2 linked regions of the Macaca mulatta genome follow. The protein of the gene in region 1 binds, or shares a complex with, the protein of each later gene. Links are inferred from orthologs where the notes say so. Each region holds a gene or a part of one and is shown on either strand. Other genes may lie near its edges. The genes, in order: STAT2 and IRF9.

The links.
Region 2: the proteins of STAT2 (region 1) and IRF9 are in contact, whole or in part, in a crystal structure (PDB 5OEN), measured with the Mus musculus proteins. The link is inferred for Macaca mulatta from reciprocal best matches to the Homo sapiens genes STAT2 and IRF9. Residues at the interface, in NP_064347.1 of Mus musculus: Arg163, Gln164, Lys166, Asp167, Glu168, Asp170, Val171, Phe174, Arg175, Thr177, Val178, Phe179, Leu181, Lys182, Asp188, His190, Gln191, Gln193, Gln194, Leu197, Thr201, Lys204, Met208; in NP_032420.1 of Mus musculus: Leu206, Leu208, Tyr212, Leu233, Asp234, Arg236, Ser244, Glu245, Ser246, Ser247, Met248, Asp270, Arg271, Leu274, Val275, Ala276, Asn278, Ser279, Arg280, Phe283, Val284, Gln285, Leu287, Cys313, Glu315.

What each region holds. Positions count from the first base shown.
Region 1 is NC_133416.1:63,515,061-63,522,988, forward strand, and holds part of STAT2 (signal transducer and activator of transcription 2), read right to left. Parts: intron 7,505-7,928; coding exon 7,346-7,504; intron 7,245-7,345; coding exon 7,152-7,244; intron 6,941-7,151; coding exon 6,881-6,940; intron 6,485-6,880; coding exon 6,464-6,484; intron 6,242-6,463; coding exon 6,148-6,241; intron 5,687-6,147; coding exon 5,639-5,686; intron 5,559-5,638; coding exon 5,475-5,558; intron 5,286-5,474; coding exon 5,187-5,285; intron 5,085-5,186; coding exon 4,949-5,084; intron 4,830-4,948; coding exon 4,777-4,829; intron 4,651-4,776; coding exon 4,556-4,650; intron 2,665-4,555; coding exon 2,528-2,664; intron 2,334-2,527; coding exon 2,151-2,333; intron 1,918-2,150; coding exon 1,860-1,917; intron 1-1,859. UniProt on the Homo sapiens protein: Signal transducer and activator of transcription that mediates signaling by type I interferons (IFN-alpha and IFN-beta).
Region 2 is NC_133412.1:97,279,707-97,286,922, forward strand, and holds the end of IRF9 (interferon regulatory factor 9), read left to right. Parts: 5' UTR 1-115; intron 116-918; 5' UTR 919-919; coding exon 920-1,099; intron 1,100-1,737; coding exon 1,738-1,921; intron 1,922-2,151; coding exon 2,152-2,282; intron 2,283-2,650; coding exon 2,651-2,729; intron 2,730-2,832; coding exon 2,833-2,904; intron 2,905-3,383; coding exon 3,384-3,725; intron 3,726-3,826; coding exon of another isoform or gene 3,827-3,953; exon of another isoform or gene 3,954-4,025; intron 4,026-4,614; coding exon 4,615-4,730; intron 4,731-4,889; coding exon 4,890-4,964; coding exon of another isoform or gene 4,965-5,023; 3' UTR 5,024-5,280; downstream 5,281-7,216.

The sequences.
Region 1 (7,928 bases):
CGGAATCAGGCCTCCTGGAGTTTGAATCCTGGCATTTACTAGCTGGGGGAACTTAGGCAAGTATCCTAACTTTTCTGAGCCTCAGATTTATCATCTATAAATGAGAACAATACCTAGTAATTCTTGAGAGGCAGTAGGGTGGTTGAAAGCAGGGCTATGGAATCTAACAGACCTGTATCATTTATTAGCCATGTACCTTAGGTACAAAACTTGACTACTCTAAATCCAGTTCCTTAGCTGAAAACAGTAACAGTGTTTACTTCAAAGGACTATTTTGTAGATTCAATAAAATGAGAAAATAAACATAAACCATTTAGCCTAGTGCCTGGCACAAAATAAACTTTCAGGCCAGGCACGGTGGCTCACACCTGTAATCTAAGCACTTTGGGAGGCTGAGGCGAGCAGATCACTTGAGGCCAGAAGCTCAAGACCAGCCTGGCCAATTTGGTGAAACCCCGTCTCTACTAAAAATACAAAAGTTAGGCCGGGTACAGTGGCTCACGCCTGTAATCCCAGCACTTTGGGAGACCAAGGTGGGCGGATCACGAGTTCAGGAGTTTGAGAGCAGCCTGGCCAATATGGTGAAACCCTGTCTCTACTAAAAATACAAAAATCAGCCAGGCGTGGTGGTGGTGCGTGCCTGTAGTCCCAGCTACTTGGGAGGCTAAGGCAGGAGAATCACTTGAACCTGGGAGGTGGAAGTTGCAGCGAGCTGAGATCATGCCACTGCACTCCAGCCTGGGCAACAGGGCGAGACTCTGTCTCAAAAAAAATAAAAATTAACCAGGCATGGGTGGCGCTAGCCTGTAATCCCAGCTACTCAGGAAGCTGAGGCAGGAGAATTGCTTGAGCCTGGGAGGCAGAGGTTGCAATGAGCTGAGACTGCGCCATTGCACTCCAGCCTGGGCAATGAGGGCGAGACTCTGTCTCAAAAAAAAAAAAACTATCCCCAGCCAAGTGCCAGGGCTCATTCCTATAATCCCAGCACTTTGGGAGGCCAAGGCAGGACACTGCTTGAGGCCAGGAGTTGAAGACTAGCCTGGGCAACATAGTGATACCCTATCCCTACAAAAAATTTTAAAAATTAGCTGAGTGTGGTGGTGTGTGCTTGTAGTCTCAGCTACTTGGGAGGCTGAGGCAGGAGCATCACTTCAACCCCTCGGTCAAGGCTGCAGTGAGTCATGATTGCACCACTGCACTCCAGCCTGGGTGACAGAGACCCTGTCTCAAAAAAAATATATATAGGCGGGGCGTGGTGGCTCATGCCTATAATCCTAGCACTTTGGGAGGCCAAGGCGGGTGGATTGCTTGAGTCCAGGAGTTCAAGACCAGCCTGGGCAACATGGTAAGACCCCATCTCTACAAAAAACACACAAAAAATTAGCTGAGTTTGGTGATGCATGCCTGTATTGCTTGAGCTCAGGAGGTCGAGGCTGCAGTGAGCCATGATCACACCACTGCACTCCAGCCTGGGCGACAGAGCGAAACCCTGTCTGGGGAAAAAAAAAAAAGCTCCATGCTTGGCATCAAGTAGGTGCCCATTAACACCAGTCATTATGATCATTATTATCCAGAAACCCCTGTGGAGACAACCTAAGGATGGCAGCAGAAAAATATGAGATAGGAGAGACTAGAACTGGAAAAAACTAGAGTGGGCTAGGAGGGAGGGAAGGCTGGGGAGACTGGAATAGGGGCACGTTAGGAGAAGGCAGAAAGGAGAGACTGTGGGAATGGCAGGGCAGAGCAGCTGACCATCGTCCTGGTGCTCCACCCAGGAGCAGGTAATGCCCCCTTTTGACAATTCACTGAAGCACAGCCAAAAAGGACTAGGGAGGATGGGTGGAGAGTTTATATCTCACCTATTAGAGACCACAATGAGCCTGTGTTTCAGGTATTTCCTCCGTTCCTGGAGATTAACTGTGAGGAACATATATAAGAAGCAGAGAAGATCAGTGGGCCAGACACATAGCCTGAGGTTCCCCTCAGACGGTCCTGGCAGTCTCATCCCCATAGGAACCAGCAGTATCCCATGGACAAATCCCTTAACTCCTCTAGATATCAGTCTTCCCATGCTTGAAAGGAAGGAGTGGGATCTATGGATGTCTGAAGATCTCTGCAATCTAGCAATGAAGTATGTCAACAATTCCCACCTTTCTCCTGGTAGTAGCACCCAAAAGCTTCATCCCGGGGGATTCGGGGATAGAGGAAGCGCAGTGGGTTCTCAGGTATATTCTCCTCAGTGAGCAACTGGTAATGGCGGATGATTTCAGTCAGCGGGAGTGACTGCAGCACCTCCTTGGTGTACGGTTGCACAGAGTAGATGAGCACCTTGTCTGGAGAGTGAATGCAATAACAGGCAGGCTTGAGGGAAGAGGCCGGGCCTTGGAGCTCCCTGCTCTGGCTCCCCAGTCCCAAACCGGTTGAGGGATGCAGGACAGAGCCAGGGAAGCCAAGGGCAGGCAGAGGGGCAAGAGGGGAGCCAGGCAGAAAGGAGAGGCTGTGGGAATGGCAGGGCACAGCAGCTGACCATCATCCTGGTGCTCCACCCAGGAGCAGGTAATGCCCCCTTCTGACGATTCACTGAAGCGCAGTAGAAAGGTGCCAGAGATGGTTTTCTTCAGCAGCCGGCGCTCCTGGCTCCGACTCACAAAGCCCATGATGCGTCTGGAGCACAAAGAGCAGCTGTGAGCCGTCCCCCAACCCCCTGCCCCACCAGGCCCCTGCCTCCCTGCTCCCCTTGTATGGAGAAATAGCCTAGGTTTGGAACCCAGGTTTTGGACCAAGCTCTGCCACTTAGCTTTTTTATCTTTTACAAGTCACTTCACTTTGCTGACAACAGCGACCTTCCGAGGGTTTGAAGAGGTACGAAGATTCAGTGAGATCACACAGATGAACAGCACTCTTTTTTTTTTGGGAAAGAGGGTGTCATTCTGTCACCAGGCTGGAGAACAGTGGCATGATACAGCTCACTGCTGCCTCCATGCCTCGACCTACTGGGCTCAAGCAATCTTCCCACCTCTCAGCCTCCAGAGTAGCTGGGACCACAGGTGCACACCACCATGCCTGGCTAACTTCTGTATTTTTTGTAGAGACGGGGTTTCACCATGTGGTTCAGGGTGGTTTTGAACTCCTGGGCTCAAGTGATCCATCTGCCTCAACCTCCCAAAATGCTAGGATTACAGGCATGAGCTACTGTGCCCAGCCATGAATAGCATTTTTTTTTCTTTTTTTTTTGAGGCCAAGTTTTGCTCTTGTTGTCCAGGCTACAGTGCAATGGCATGATCTTGGCTCACTGCAACCTCCACCTCCCGGGTTCAAGCGATTCTCCTGCCTCAGCCTCTTGAGTAGCTGGGATTACAGGCCTGCCAACGTTCCTGGCTAATTTTTTTTATTTTTAGTAGAGATGGGGTTTCACCATGTTGGCCCGGCTGGTTCTGAACTCCTGACCTCAGGTGATCTGCCTGCCTTAGCCTCCCAAAGTGCTGGGATTACAGGTGTGAGCCACTGCGCCCAGCCATGAATAGCACTTTTTTTGTTTTGTTTTGTTTTGAGATGGAGTCTCGCTCTGTCACCCAGGCTGGAGTGCAATGGCACGATCTCGGCTCACTGCAACCTTCTCTCCTGGGTTCAAGCGATTCTCCTGCCTCAGCCTCCTGAGTAGCTGGGATTATAGGCACGCACCACCATGCCCAGCTAATTTTTGTATTTTTAGTAGAGATGGGGTTTCACTATGTTACAGGCCAGGCTGCTCTCAAACTCCTGACCTCAGGTGATCCACCTCGGCCTCCCAAAGTGCTGGGATTACAGGCGTGAGCCATCGCGCCTGGTCATGAATAGCACTTTTTTTTTTTTTTTTTTTGAGACAGAGTCTCGCTCTGTCGCCCAGGCTGGAGTGCAGTGGTGCGATCTCGGCTCACTGCAAGCTCCGCCTCCCGGGTTCATGCCATTCTCCTGCCTCAGCCTCCCTAGTAGCTGGGACTACAGGCACCCGCCACCACGCCTGGCTAATTTTTTGTATTTTTAGTAGAGACAGGGTTTCACTGTGTTCACCAGGATGGTCTCGATCTCCTGACCTCATGATCCGCCTGCCTCGTCCTCCCAAAGTGCTGGGATTACAGGCGTGAGCCACCGCGCCCGGCATGAATAGCACTTTTAAAAGCCAAATGCTACACAAATTGGTAGGCAGTGTGGTGAAAAGAGCATGAGCTTGGGGTCACATAGGCCTGGGTTTGAATATCAACTCTGTCCCTTGGGTAAGTTCTTTAACTTCTCTGAAACTTAGTTTCCTCACTTGAAATGAAGATGGCAAAACCCACCACTCAGCATAGTCATAAGGATGAGATGAGAGAATTAATGAAGAGCGCGCATCAGGCTCTGGAATGCAGGAGATGCTTCACAAACACTGTCTATGGCTATCGTTGTTAACAAATGTGAGGAGACATGGCCTCACGCCTGTCTTTGCTCTCTCTCCCTGCTTGCCACATGAGGGCGCACAGACTCCACTCTCAAGCCCAGAAAGCACAAGCCCAGGAGACAAAGTGGACCAAGGCCTTACCCATCATTCCAGAGATCCTTCAGGTGGTCATGTACCAACTCCAGAATTTTGTCCAGCCATGTCCAGAATGGTAGCTTGCCAGGAGGGCTCTCTCGCTGGAGGAGGAATGGAAAGGTAGCAAGAGCTGAGGAGTTGCCCCTGGTGTAGGGAAGGAGGAACATGGGAAGGCCAGTATTTGGAATGTGGGCTAGATCTAGCTCCACAGGAATTCAGGGAGTTACCTTAGTGAAGTCAGCCCAGGACAATAATGGATCCTCAGTTCTACAGTTTTGCCCTGTGGGACAGATAGCCACAGACAGATGATGAGGGAAGCCAGGGGTCCTGGGATAGATAGGACAGAGGGACAGGAAAGACTAAGGCTGGGGAAAGGTTGAGAGAAAAGGAAATCTGTACCGAACAGCTTGTTTCTCAGCATGCTCAGCTGGTCTGAGTTGAGGCCTCGGCCAACATAGGAGGAGAACTGCCAACTGAGAGCCGGGCCCAGCAAGCTCCAGGGGGCTTTGAGGGGGTTGGAGAAGAACTGCTGGTTCTGCAGGGGTGGGAGGAGTGCAGGCTGGCTCAGAAGAAGCCTATCACACCAAGCTTCCACACCCCTCCTCTCCCCACTTGACCTGTCGGCCCCACTCCCTACCTGAAGGTTTGGGCTGAGCAAATTGAACCAGAGAACTGAAGCCCAGGCAATTGAGAGCTGGTTCATATTGGAAATAATCACCACAGGGAGGGTGTCCGTCTGGGGAGAAGACAGGAGTCACACAGAGGGATGTGACGTTTCTAGTTGCAGGTATTTGTTAGAGGAAAGGAGTGCTAATCCACCCCAAGAGGCTTCTTCCAAAGAAGCCTTTCTTCTTTCTTCTTTATCCCCTCCTTATGCCTTCTTCCAAAGCTGCTTTCTCTCTCCTTGCCCTCCATTTTCACTCACTTTCAGCTCCTGCTTCAGACCCTGGTAGGTATATTTGACCGTGAAGCTGATGATGTGCAGTTCCTCTGTCACACCTAGTGGCCCCTGGGACAGCCAAAGACATAGTCATCAGAAGGCCCTTTGGCAAGTTCCCCCTGCCCCCGAGTCCTCTGTACTGGCCTCACCTTATTGCTGCCCTTTCCTGAACCACCTGAACGTTGTTCCACCAGGGTCTGTGAATTGAGGGGAAGGAGAGAAAATGCCAGAGTGGGCACCCTAGGGTCCCCGGAACTCCTGTTTGGCTTCAAGACTCCTCAAGCCCTGGGAACTTCCCCCAACCCCTGTTCCTTTGGACTAAAAGCAGGCCAGGTGTGGTGGCGCATGCCTGTGATCCCAGCACTTGGGGACGCTGAGGCGGGTGGATCACCTGAGGTTAGGAGTTTGAGACCAGCCTGACCAATATGGTGAAACCCTGTCTCTACTAAAAACACAAAAATTAGCCAGGCATGGTGGCGTGTGCCTGTAGTCTCGGCTACTCAGGAGGCTGAGACAGGAGAACCGCTTGAACCTGGAAGGCGGAGGTTGCAGTGAGCCAAGATCACACCACTGCACTCCAGCTTGGGGGACAGAGTGAGATTCTATCTCAAAAAAAATAAAAATAGTAATAAAAGCATAGGTCACAAACTATTCTTACCAGGTAACCAAAGTCCCAAATCAAACCCTGACTCTGCCCCTTCTCGGGGGTCAAAGTTTTCTGGTTTGAAGTCAGAATGTTGAACTTCCGGAAGCTGTTCCAGGAGGAAGAAGATATATGGAGATAAGGAACGGAATTACTCTAAAAACTCAGCAGAAAAAAAAACAGAAGTTCCACTTCATTTCAGATCTCGCCATCTCCCTTTGTCCATATCCCAAATCCCCCTCCTCCTTGTTTGTGCCACCAGGGATGCCGAATGTGGTTCTGCAGGTCGTGCAGTGTACAGATGTTTGCAGTGTCCTTGTCAAGCACCTACCCTTGTAATTGAGGAGGATTCCTGAAAAGAAATAAATTAAAAAAAAATCATTGGGCAAAAGAGTATGGAAGTTAGGAGTTTGGTCTTTGGGATCAGATAGACCTGGGTTCAAACCTGACTTGAGCTCACTAGCTACGTGGTCTTGAGAAGAGATGTAATCAGTCTCTCTAAGCCTGTATCTTTGTTTGTACGGTGCACCGGTAATAGTTAATTCATGGGGTTGGTGTGACAATTAAATGAGTACCTGACATGCTGCATGTCACAAAGTAAGTGTTCAACAAAAGAATTGAATTATAATTTCTATGAGATAGGAACGGAAGGAGGAAGAAGATAGCCCTAGACCCTGTTGTGAAGAATGAGTATCTCCTTCACCCCAGCAGCCCATGTCCTGGCCACCCTTCACCTGCTCCAATTTACCTGTCAATGGAGACTTCCACAGTCAGTGACTCATTGCCTTCCTGGAGTCTCACCAGCAGCCTGTGGGAAGGAAGGGGGATAGGGGAAAGTGGTCAACCTCAACCTTCTGGATAGGCCAGATGTTTGAGAAAGAGAAGAGGGATTATAAGAGGTAGGGAGACTGAGAGGAAAGAGAGAAGAAAAAGCCAAGAGTGGGAAGAGCTGTAAAGCCAGAAAATACAAAGTGGCAGGGTTGGAAAAAGCAAGCAGGAATGAGTTCTGGAATGCCAACCTTGTTCGGACGGTGAACTTGCTCCCAGTCTTGAGGATGAGGGGTCGATGGGGAGTTTGGGGCATGCAGGGCTGGGTTTCTACCACAAAAGCTCTGAGGAGAGAGAGGTGTGGAAAGAATATATAGCTCAGTATCTGTAAGAATGGCTTCCCTTGTTCCTTCTTTCCCCCAGGGTTCCTGCCTGGCCTCTAGACCTGTCGAGCAGACGCTGTAGCAACTCTGTGACCTGGGCGTTGCGTAGGTCCACCCCTTTGATCAGAGGGTCATCCTGATAGCTAACCAGGCAACTCAGTCCCTTCAGCTCCTTCAGCAGCTGCCTCAGGTGAAACAACAGCTTTGCTCCAGCTGTGAACCTGGGTGATAAAATTCAGGAAGAAGGAATCCATGAGTTTCCTGGATTCCCCCATCCAGGTTCCAAGACCTCTCCATAAATATGTGAAGAGTCAGAAACTGACTTGGGGGTGGGGGGAGAAGAATCCAGGAAGCGTATAAAGGATTATTCAACATGATTCATAATCTAAGAAATGAAAATCGAAGCTATTTTCACATATAAAACTGCTAACAGATTTAACATAACAGCTTTCATATGCTATGTACAACTTATATTAAGCCCTTTCCACATATTAACACATTCAATCCTCAAAACAACCTCTGAGGCAGGTACTATTATTATCCCCACATTACAGATGATAAAACTGAGGCACAGAAAGGTTAAGTGACTTGCTCAAGGTCATACAACTAGTAAGGGATGAAGCTTGTATGTGATCCCAGGCAGTC
Region 2 (7,216 bases), on another chromosome or scaffold:
GAGGAGAACTGAAACTTAGGGTGGGGACTGTAGAAAGGGGTGGAGAGATCAGCCGCCCAGCCAGGAGTTAAGCTGAGGTCGTCTGAGCCCTGCAACAGCCTGGACAGCAACTCAGGTAAGATCAGCCAAGAATGGGAGTCATCCTGGGATCTAGGGCTAGAAAGTCCAGCCAGATTGGGGGTAGGGGGTTCTAGGGGTCCCTCTGCTAGACTGCGGGATAGACAGAAGACCTCTAAGTCAGGAAGTGGGAGATTCAGCCTGAGAATGAGACTGACAAAGGCCAGCACCTCAGACTCTTGTAGGCAAAGGTCAGAAGGACCTCCTGCTGGATTGTTCAGGGAAGAAGGCTCATTGCCCCAGCCTCAGTGGACCATTTGTTTCCTTGCCGTCTGGCCCTGCCCACTTGTGCTGCAGCTCCACCCCCACCCCTGCTTCCTGCCCCACCTACTCCTGGGGATGGCAGAGGGGTGGGGGTCAGAGGCTAGGTTGTGTAGGCTGTGGGGCAGTGGGTGAAGGGCCTGATGCATCTCAGCAGAGCCTGCCTCTGCTGATGCTCGGGAATCTAGACAGGGCCTCTCACCAGGAATGATCACCAAAGGAATTACTTCCTAAACAATACATTTCTGAAAAGTCCTAAAATTAAGACCAATGCCCAAGGTTTCCTTCCAGGTATCACAGCTTAGAATGCTAAAAACAATGTTTGGGTTTTTGTTTTGTTTTTGTTTTTTGTCATTGCTAGTGATGGCAGAAAGGAAACAATTCTGTCTCATAGAGTGTTGAAATGTGTCTAGAGCTAAAAGAAAATGGATGGAATCTCTGGGACCTGTTGCCAGAATCTAGTCTCAATGGCCAGGGTCTCAGGAGATGTTCCCTCCCAAAGTGTCAGTTCTGACGCTTCCTGCTCCTCTTATCCCCCAGAATGGCATCAGGCAGGGCACGCTGTACCCGAAAACTCCGGAACTGGGTGGTGGAGCAAGTGGAGAGCGGGCAGTTCCCCGGAGTGTGCTGGGATGATACAGCTAAGACCATGTTCCGGATTCCCTGGAAGCATGCAGGCAAGCAGGACTTCCGAGAGGACCAGGATGCTGCCTTCTTCAAGGTGAAAGGGCTTGGAAACCACTGTTCCTCTGCGTGAGGGATGGTGTATACACTGGTACACTCACCCTCGAGCACTTGCGTCTACCTGGGTTTCAGACAAGGGAGACATTGGAGAGGAAAACTAGCTGCATCATTTGCAGAGTCCAGTACAAAATGAAAATGTGGAGGCCTTGTTCAAAAATTCTGGGGATTTTGGCCAGGCGCAGTGGCTCACGCCTGTAATCCCAGCACTCTGGGAGGCCAAGGTGGGTGGATCACGAGGTCAAGAGATCAAGACCATCCTGGCCAACATGGTGAAACCCCGTCTCTACTAAAAATACAAAAATTAGCTGGGCCTGGCGGCGCATGCCTGTAGTCCCAGCTACTCAGGAGGCTGAGGCAGGAGAATTGCTTGAACCAGGGAGGCAGAGGCTGTAGTGAGCCGAGATCGTACCACTGCACTCCAGCCTGGCGACAGAGTGAGACTCTGTCTCAAAAAAAAAAAAAAAAATTCTGGGGATTTCAAGATGGCAACACAGAGCACAGACCCTGCATGATCCCTTCTGAGCTTAGAGCTGCACGCCCATAAAGCCAGTCCTGTTGGAGGGGCAGCTGGAGCCTGTAACACACTGCCTCTTTTTCCCTTGCTTTCTTTCCTAGGCCTGGGCAATATTTAAGGGAAAGTATAAGGAAGGGGACACAGGAGGCCCCGCTGTCTGGAAGACTCGCCTGCGCTGTGCACTCAACAAGAGTACCGAATTTGAGGAGGTTCCTAACAGGGGCCGCATGGATGTTGCTGAGCCCTACAAGGTGTATCGGCTGCTGCCACCAGGAACCTTCTCTGGTGGGTTTCCCCTTGCCCAACCACTCCTAGACTCAGCAGACTGGGGAGGAAGGATAGATGTGCGGGCTTCCCCCAGGCTTCTCATAGCTCTGCCTTGTCCGTGCCCTTGGGGGCTGCTACCCAGGTTTCCCTTCCTAGGCTTGCGCATTCTTCACTGCCTCAGACCTCTCCCTTACCCTCTGTCCCTGCTCAAGACCCTGACCTTTCTGTCTCCCTCAACAATTCCACAGGCCAGCCAGGGACTCAGAAATCACCATCAAAGCGACAGCACAGTTCTGTGTCCTCTGAGAGGAAGGAGGAAGAGGGTGCCATGCAGAACTGCACACTCAGTCCCTCTGTACTCCAGGAATCCCTCAATAATGTAAGAGATGGAAAGGGAACTGGGCGGGCCTGAGGGCAGGACAGTAACTAGAGGGAGAGGTGGGCCAATGAAAGACACTGTGTCTTGGGAGGCCAAGGCGGGCAGATCACCTGAGGTCAGGAGTTCGAAACCAGCCTTGACCAACATGGTGAAACCCCGTCTCTACTAAAAATACAAAAATTAGCTGGGTGTTGTGGCATCTGCCTGTAATCCCAGCTACTCAGGAGGCTGAGGCAGGAGAATCGCTTGAACCCAGGAGGCGGAGGTTGCAGTGAGCCGAGATTGCCCCATTGCACTCCAGCCTGGGCAACAAGAACAAAACTCTGTCTCAAAAAAAGAAAAAAAAAAAAAAGACACTGTGTCTGCAGGAGGAGGAGGAGGCCAGTGGGGGAGCACTCCATTCAGACATCGGGAGCAGCAGCAGCAGCAGCCCTGAGCCACAGGAAGGTACCACCTGCCCTGCCTCTTGTGTTGTCCCCCATGCCACACCCTCTGGCCCAAGACTCCCCAGTCCCACTCTGAATGACCAGTGCCTTTGCTTCCCTTCCAGGTACAGACACAACTGAGGCCCCCTTTCAAGGGGATCAGAGGTCCCTGGAGTTTCTGCTTCCTCCAGAGCCAGGTACATGGCATTTCTGACTTTCTCCTGTGCCCTGTGCCCCGAGGTCTTCCACCTTTGACTGTGCATGCATTATCTAGTCAGTCAGGGCTTACAGCAAACTGTGCCCACATTACCATAGCCCAAGGCACTGGTTTCTAGGTGGCGAGAATTCCACATGCCTGGCCAGGCTCCAAAAAGCTTGCTTCCCAAAAATATCACCCTATACACTCTCCTGGAAATCTACATTGAGACGTTGATTTCATTGGGCCAAACAGAGGCCCAATCTCAAGGGACCTTCTAGTAAACTACAAGCCCCTGGTCATTAAACCCTGAGGCCTCATGGTCAATCACATACTAGCTACTTGCCTGAGTGACAGGAAAACCTGAGAAGAAGTCCCCTGGCTGGTGCAGGGAGGGAAGGTGGAGCTATTCCCCTGGGGAGGGGCTGCTGCCAGCCTGCATGCTCCTCCAGCACCAAGTAGGGCTGTTCTATTCCCCAGACTACTCACTGCTGCTCACCTTCATCTACAACGGGCGTGTGGTGGGCGAGGCCCAGGTGCAAAGCCTGGATTGCCGCCTTGTGGCTGAGCCCTCAGGCTCTGAGAGCAGCATGGAGCAGGTGCTGTTCCCCAAGCCTGGCCCACTGGAGCCCACGCAGCGCCTGCTGAGCCAGCTTGAGAGGGGCATCCTGGTGGCCAGCAACCCCCGAGGCCTCTTCGTGCAGCGCCTTTGCCCCATCCCCATCTTCTGGAATGCACCCCAGGCTCCACCTGGGCCAGGCCCACATCTGCTGCCCAGCAACGAGTGTGTGGAGCTCTTCAGAACCGCCTACTTCTGCAGAGGTGAGGCTGCTCTCTCTGGGCACCTGAGCTCCCACCCCCTACCTCTTAGTACCCCCTGGGCCCAACTTGGTGGGTCCTGCCACTTCCCTATCTGCCAGCAGATCCTCCATGTAGCCTATGCATGGCACTCCTGCACTTGTGTGGTGCACATCCTGTGTGGTCATATGCCCAGCCTGGCAGCTACCTGGCAGCTCTCCTCCAGCCAAGACAATGGAAGAGGTGGTTCAGGTAGAGCCCAGCACAAGAGTCTCGTATCTTCAAGAACACCATCACAGTGAAGCATGCAGTCACTATGTGAAGGTGCACAGAAGAATTGGCACAGAGATTTTGAGCTTCATGGTCTTCTCCTATATACACAGATTTGGGAGAGCTGGCACACATCACACACTCTGGCCCTGGCTGCACTGTCTCTACTACAGTCCAGGCATGCCTTAGGGTTGCGCTTCTCTCCCATCCAATTCCAGCTCCTACTCAATTCTAAACCTGACCTTAAGAGTGGGACCAGGTGTACATGGGTGCAGAGTGTGGGTGTTCCCAGCACCATGGGTACCCTAGCACTGGAAGGGTGTGAGCAAGCAGCAAAGGTCTGGGCACATCTGTGTTAGCAGCCAGGGCTGCTGCCCGGGAGGACTCTAAACTCTCCCAGCAGAGAGCTTTTTCAGCTGTGCAGTGATCTACTTCTAAGCACTTATTTGAGGCAGGGGCACCCTTTCCCTATTTGCACACGGGTGAGTAGCATTTAGTTCCAAGTACTTCTGACCTTGCAGCTCCTGCTGTGGCAGGACCCCCTCCTACCTCTCTCCATCATTTGTTTCTCACTATTGCCTCCCTGCCTGTGGCCCTCTCTTCTTTTTGAAATTCTTCCAACCCTTGACCCTTTCTCTTTCAGACTTGGCCAAGTACTTCCAGGGCCTAGGCCCCCCACCGAAGTTCCAAGTAACACTGAATTTCTGGGAAGAGAGCCGTGGCCCCAGCCATACTCCACAGAATCTTATCACAGTGAAGGTGAGCTCAGAGCAGGGGCAGAGTACCCATCTAATGAGAGCGGGGGCAGTGGTACTTCAGGAGGCAAAGGGGGTTTCCTAGTGGGGAAGGAGCTCCTGGGGGTGGTGTCTGTCCCTGATGCACTCACTAAGACACTCTTCTCCATCTCTTCCAATACAGATGGAGCAGGCCTTTGCCCGATACTTGCTGGAGGAGACTCCAGAGCAGCAGGCAGCCATTCTGTCCCTGGTGTAGAGCGTGGGGTACCCATCTTCCACCTCACCTCTTTGTTCTTCCTGTCTCCTTTGAAATAGACTCATTCTTCACACGATTGACCTGTCCTCTTTGTGATAAGTCTCAATAGTTGTCTGTGATAATTGTATCCTGAAAATCCTCGCACACACTGGTTGGTGGAGCACTCAAGGCTAATTTTTTTTCCTTTTTTTTTTTTTAAATTTTGACATATACACCCTCTTTCACCTGTAAGGGACTGGGAAATTCCAAATGGTGTGAACCCAGGGGGCCTCTCCCTCTTCCCTGACCTCCCAACTCTAAAGACAAGCACTGCCGGGCGCGGTGGCTCACGCCTGTAATCCCAGCACTTTGGGAGGCCAAGACGGGCGGATCACGAGGTCAGGAGATCGAGACCATCCTGGCTAACATGGCGAAACCCCGTCTCTACTAAAAAATACAAAAAACTAGCCGGGCGAGGTGGCGGGCGTCTGTAGTCCCAGCTACTCAGGAGGCTGAGGCAGGAGAATGGCGTGAACCTGGGAGGCGGAGTTTGCAGTGAGCTGAGATCCGGCCACTGCACTCCAGCCTGGGCTACAGAGCGAGACTCCATCTCAAAAAAAAAAAAAAAAAAGACAAGCACTTTATATTTTCCTCTTAGATATTCACTAAGGATTTAAAATAAAATTTTATTGAAAGAGGAATCAGTATCTGATTTTCTGGGAGAAGAAGGTAGCAGTGGTCACAGATAGAGATGTAAACTTAAGAGTGGGGCACTGGGGTTCTCTTCCTGCTGACATCTCCAGCCTTTTTCCTCTCCTCTGCCCACAGGTTCTGGCTAATATGCTATCTGGGCCCTGTGGGTCCTGGGCCTGGCACTCTATAGAGGTACCCTCTGGGCAGACAAGATTAGGGAGTGGGTTGGGATAGGCCATCGAAAGGGGCATCAAGCCTTCAGCCAGGCACTATAGCCACCAACTTCACATGGTAAAGTCTGGGCTTCATAGTTCTTGCTAGAAGGCCTCAACATCGGGCCTGAGGTTAGACTGGAGGTCTAAATGAAGAGGAGACACTTGAAGGTGACCTAAAACTATGGTCTAGAGGCCCTGGGGCCTGAGAACAGAGGAGTCAGAGCGAAGAGTTGCTAAACCTGTACCTGTTGTTACTGGCACCTCTTCCTCCAGCACAAATTTCACCGTCACCCCAGCAGGGTACTCCCAAACTGGATTCCTTGCTCTATCTAAGCCCCATAAAAGACACTCTGGCTGGCTGGGTGCAGTGGCTCACGCCTATAATCCCAGCACTTTGGGAGGCCAAGGTGGGTGGATCACTTGAGATCAGGAGTTTGAGACCAGCCTGGCCAACATGGTGAAACCTCATCTTCTAAAAATACAAAAATTAGCCAGGCATGGTGGCGGGCACCTGTAATCTCAGCTACTTGGGAGGCTGAGGCAGGAGAATCGCTTGAACCTGGGAGGCAGAGGTTGCAGTGAGCCAAGATTGTGCTACTGTACTCCAGCCTTGGCAACGAGCAAGACTGTATCTCAAGAAAAAAAAAAAAAAGGCACTCCGGCCTAGACTGCCATGTCACAAACATGCTGTTCATGAGACTTGAGGGCTCCAAATTGGCTGACACTCCTTTCCCTTTCCCCTGTGTTCATTTTACTACCAAACTGGAAGGTTTTTCCTTCACCACAAGGCCACCTGTCACCTACTTTTTTGTACACTCACTTCCAGCAAACTAGTTCCAACCCAGGCCACAGCCTTCAGCTTCCTTCTTCCTGCATATGACACCAGCTTAGCTTTCCAGACTTCCTCCTGTCATTTCACTCTTCAGCCCTCAATGGCTCATACACATGATCAAATCTGGATGCCTAAGTCCTCCTAGGACCTTCTTGCTGCCTCATTTGGCAAGCTTCAGTGCTGCCTTTGAGCCTCCCTGCCTCCATGGACCTCCCTTCTTCCCTTCAGTCTTGTCCATCATCCCCCTGGGAAGCCAAGTGCCTAGACAGGCTCTGCACTAGCAGTAAAGAAATGAGGTACTGAGTGCAGACTTGTACAATCCCTGTTGTGCCCTCAATGTGATGCAATGTGATGAAATCCCTCCTGGACCTTCTTTGTACAAGGTCTAAATTATCTCCTTGACTTCCATTTTATTTTATTTTATTTTATTTTTATTTTTTTTTTTTTTGAGACGGAGTCTCACGCTGTTGCCCAGGCTGGAGTGCAGTGGCGCGATCTCGGCTCACTGCAAGCTCCGCCTCCTGGGTTCACGC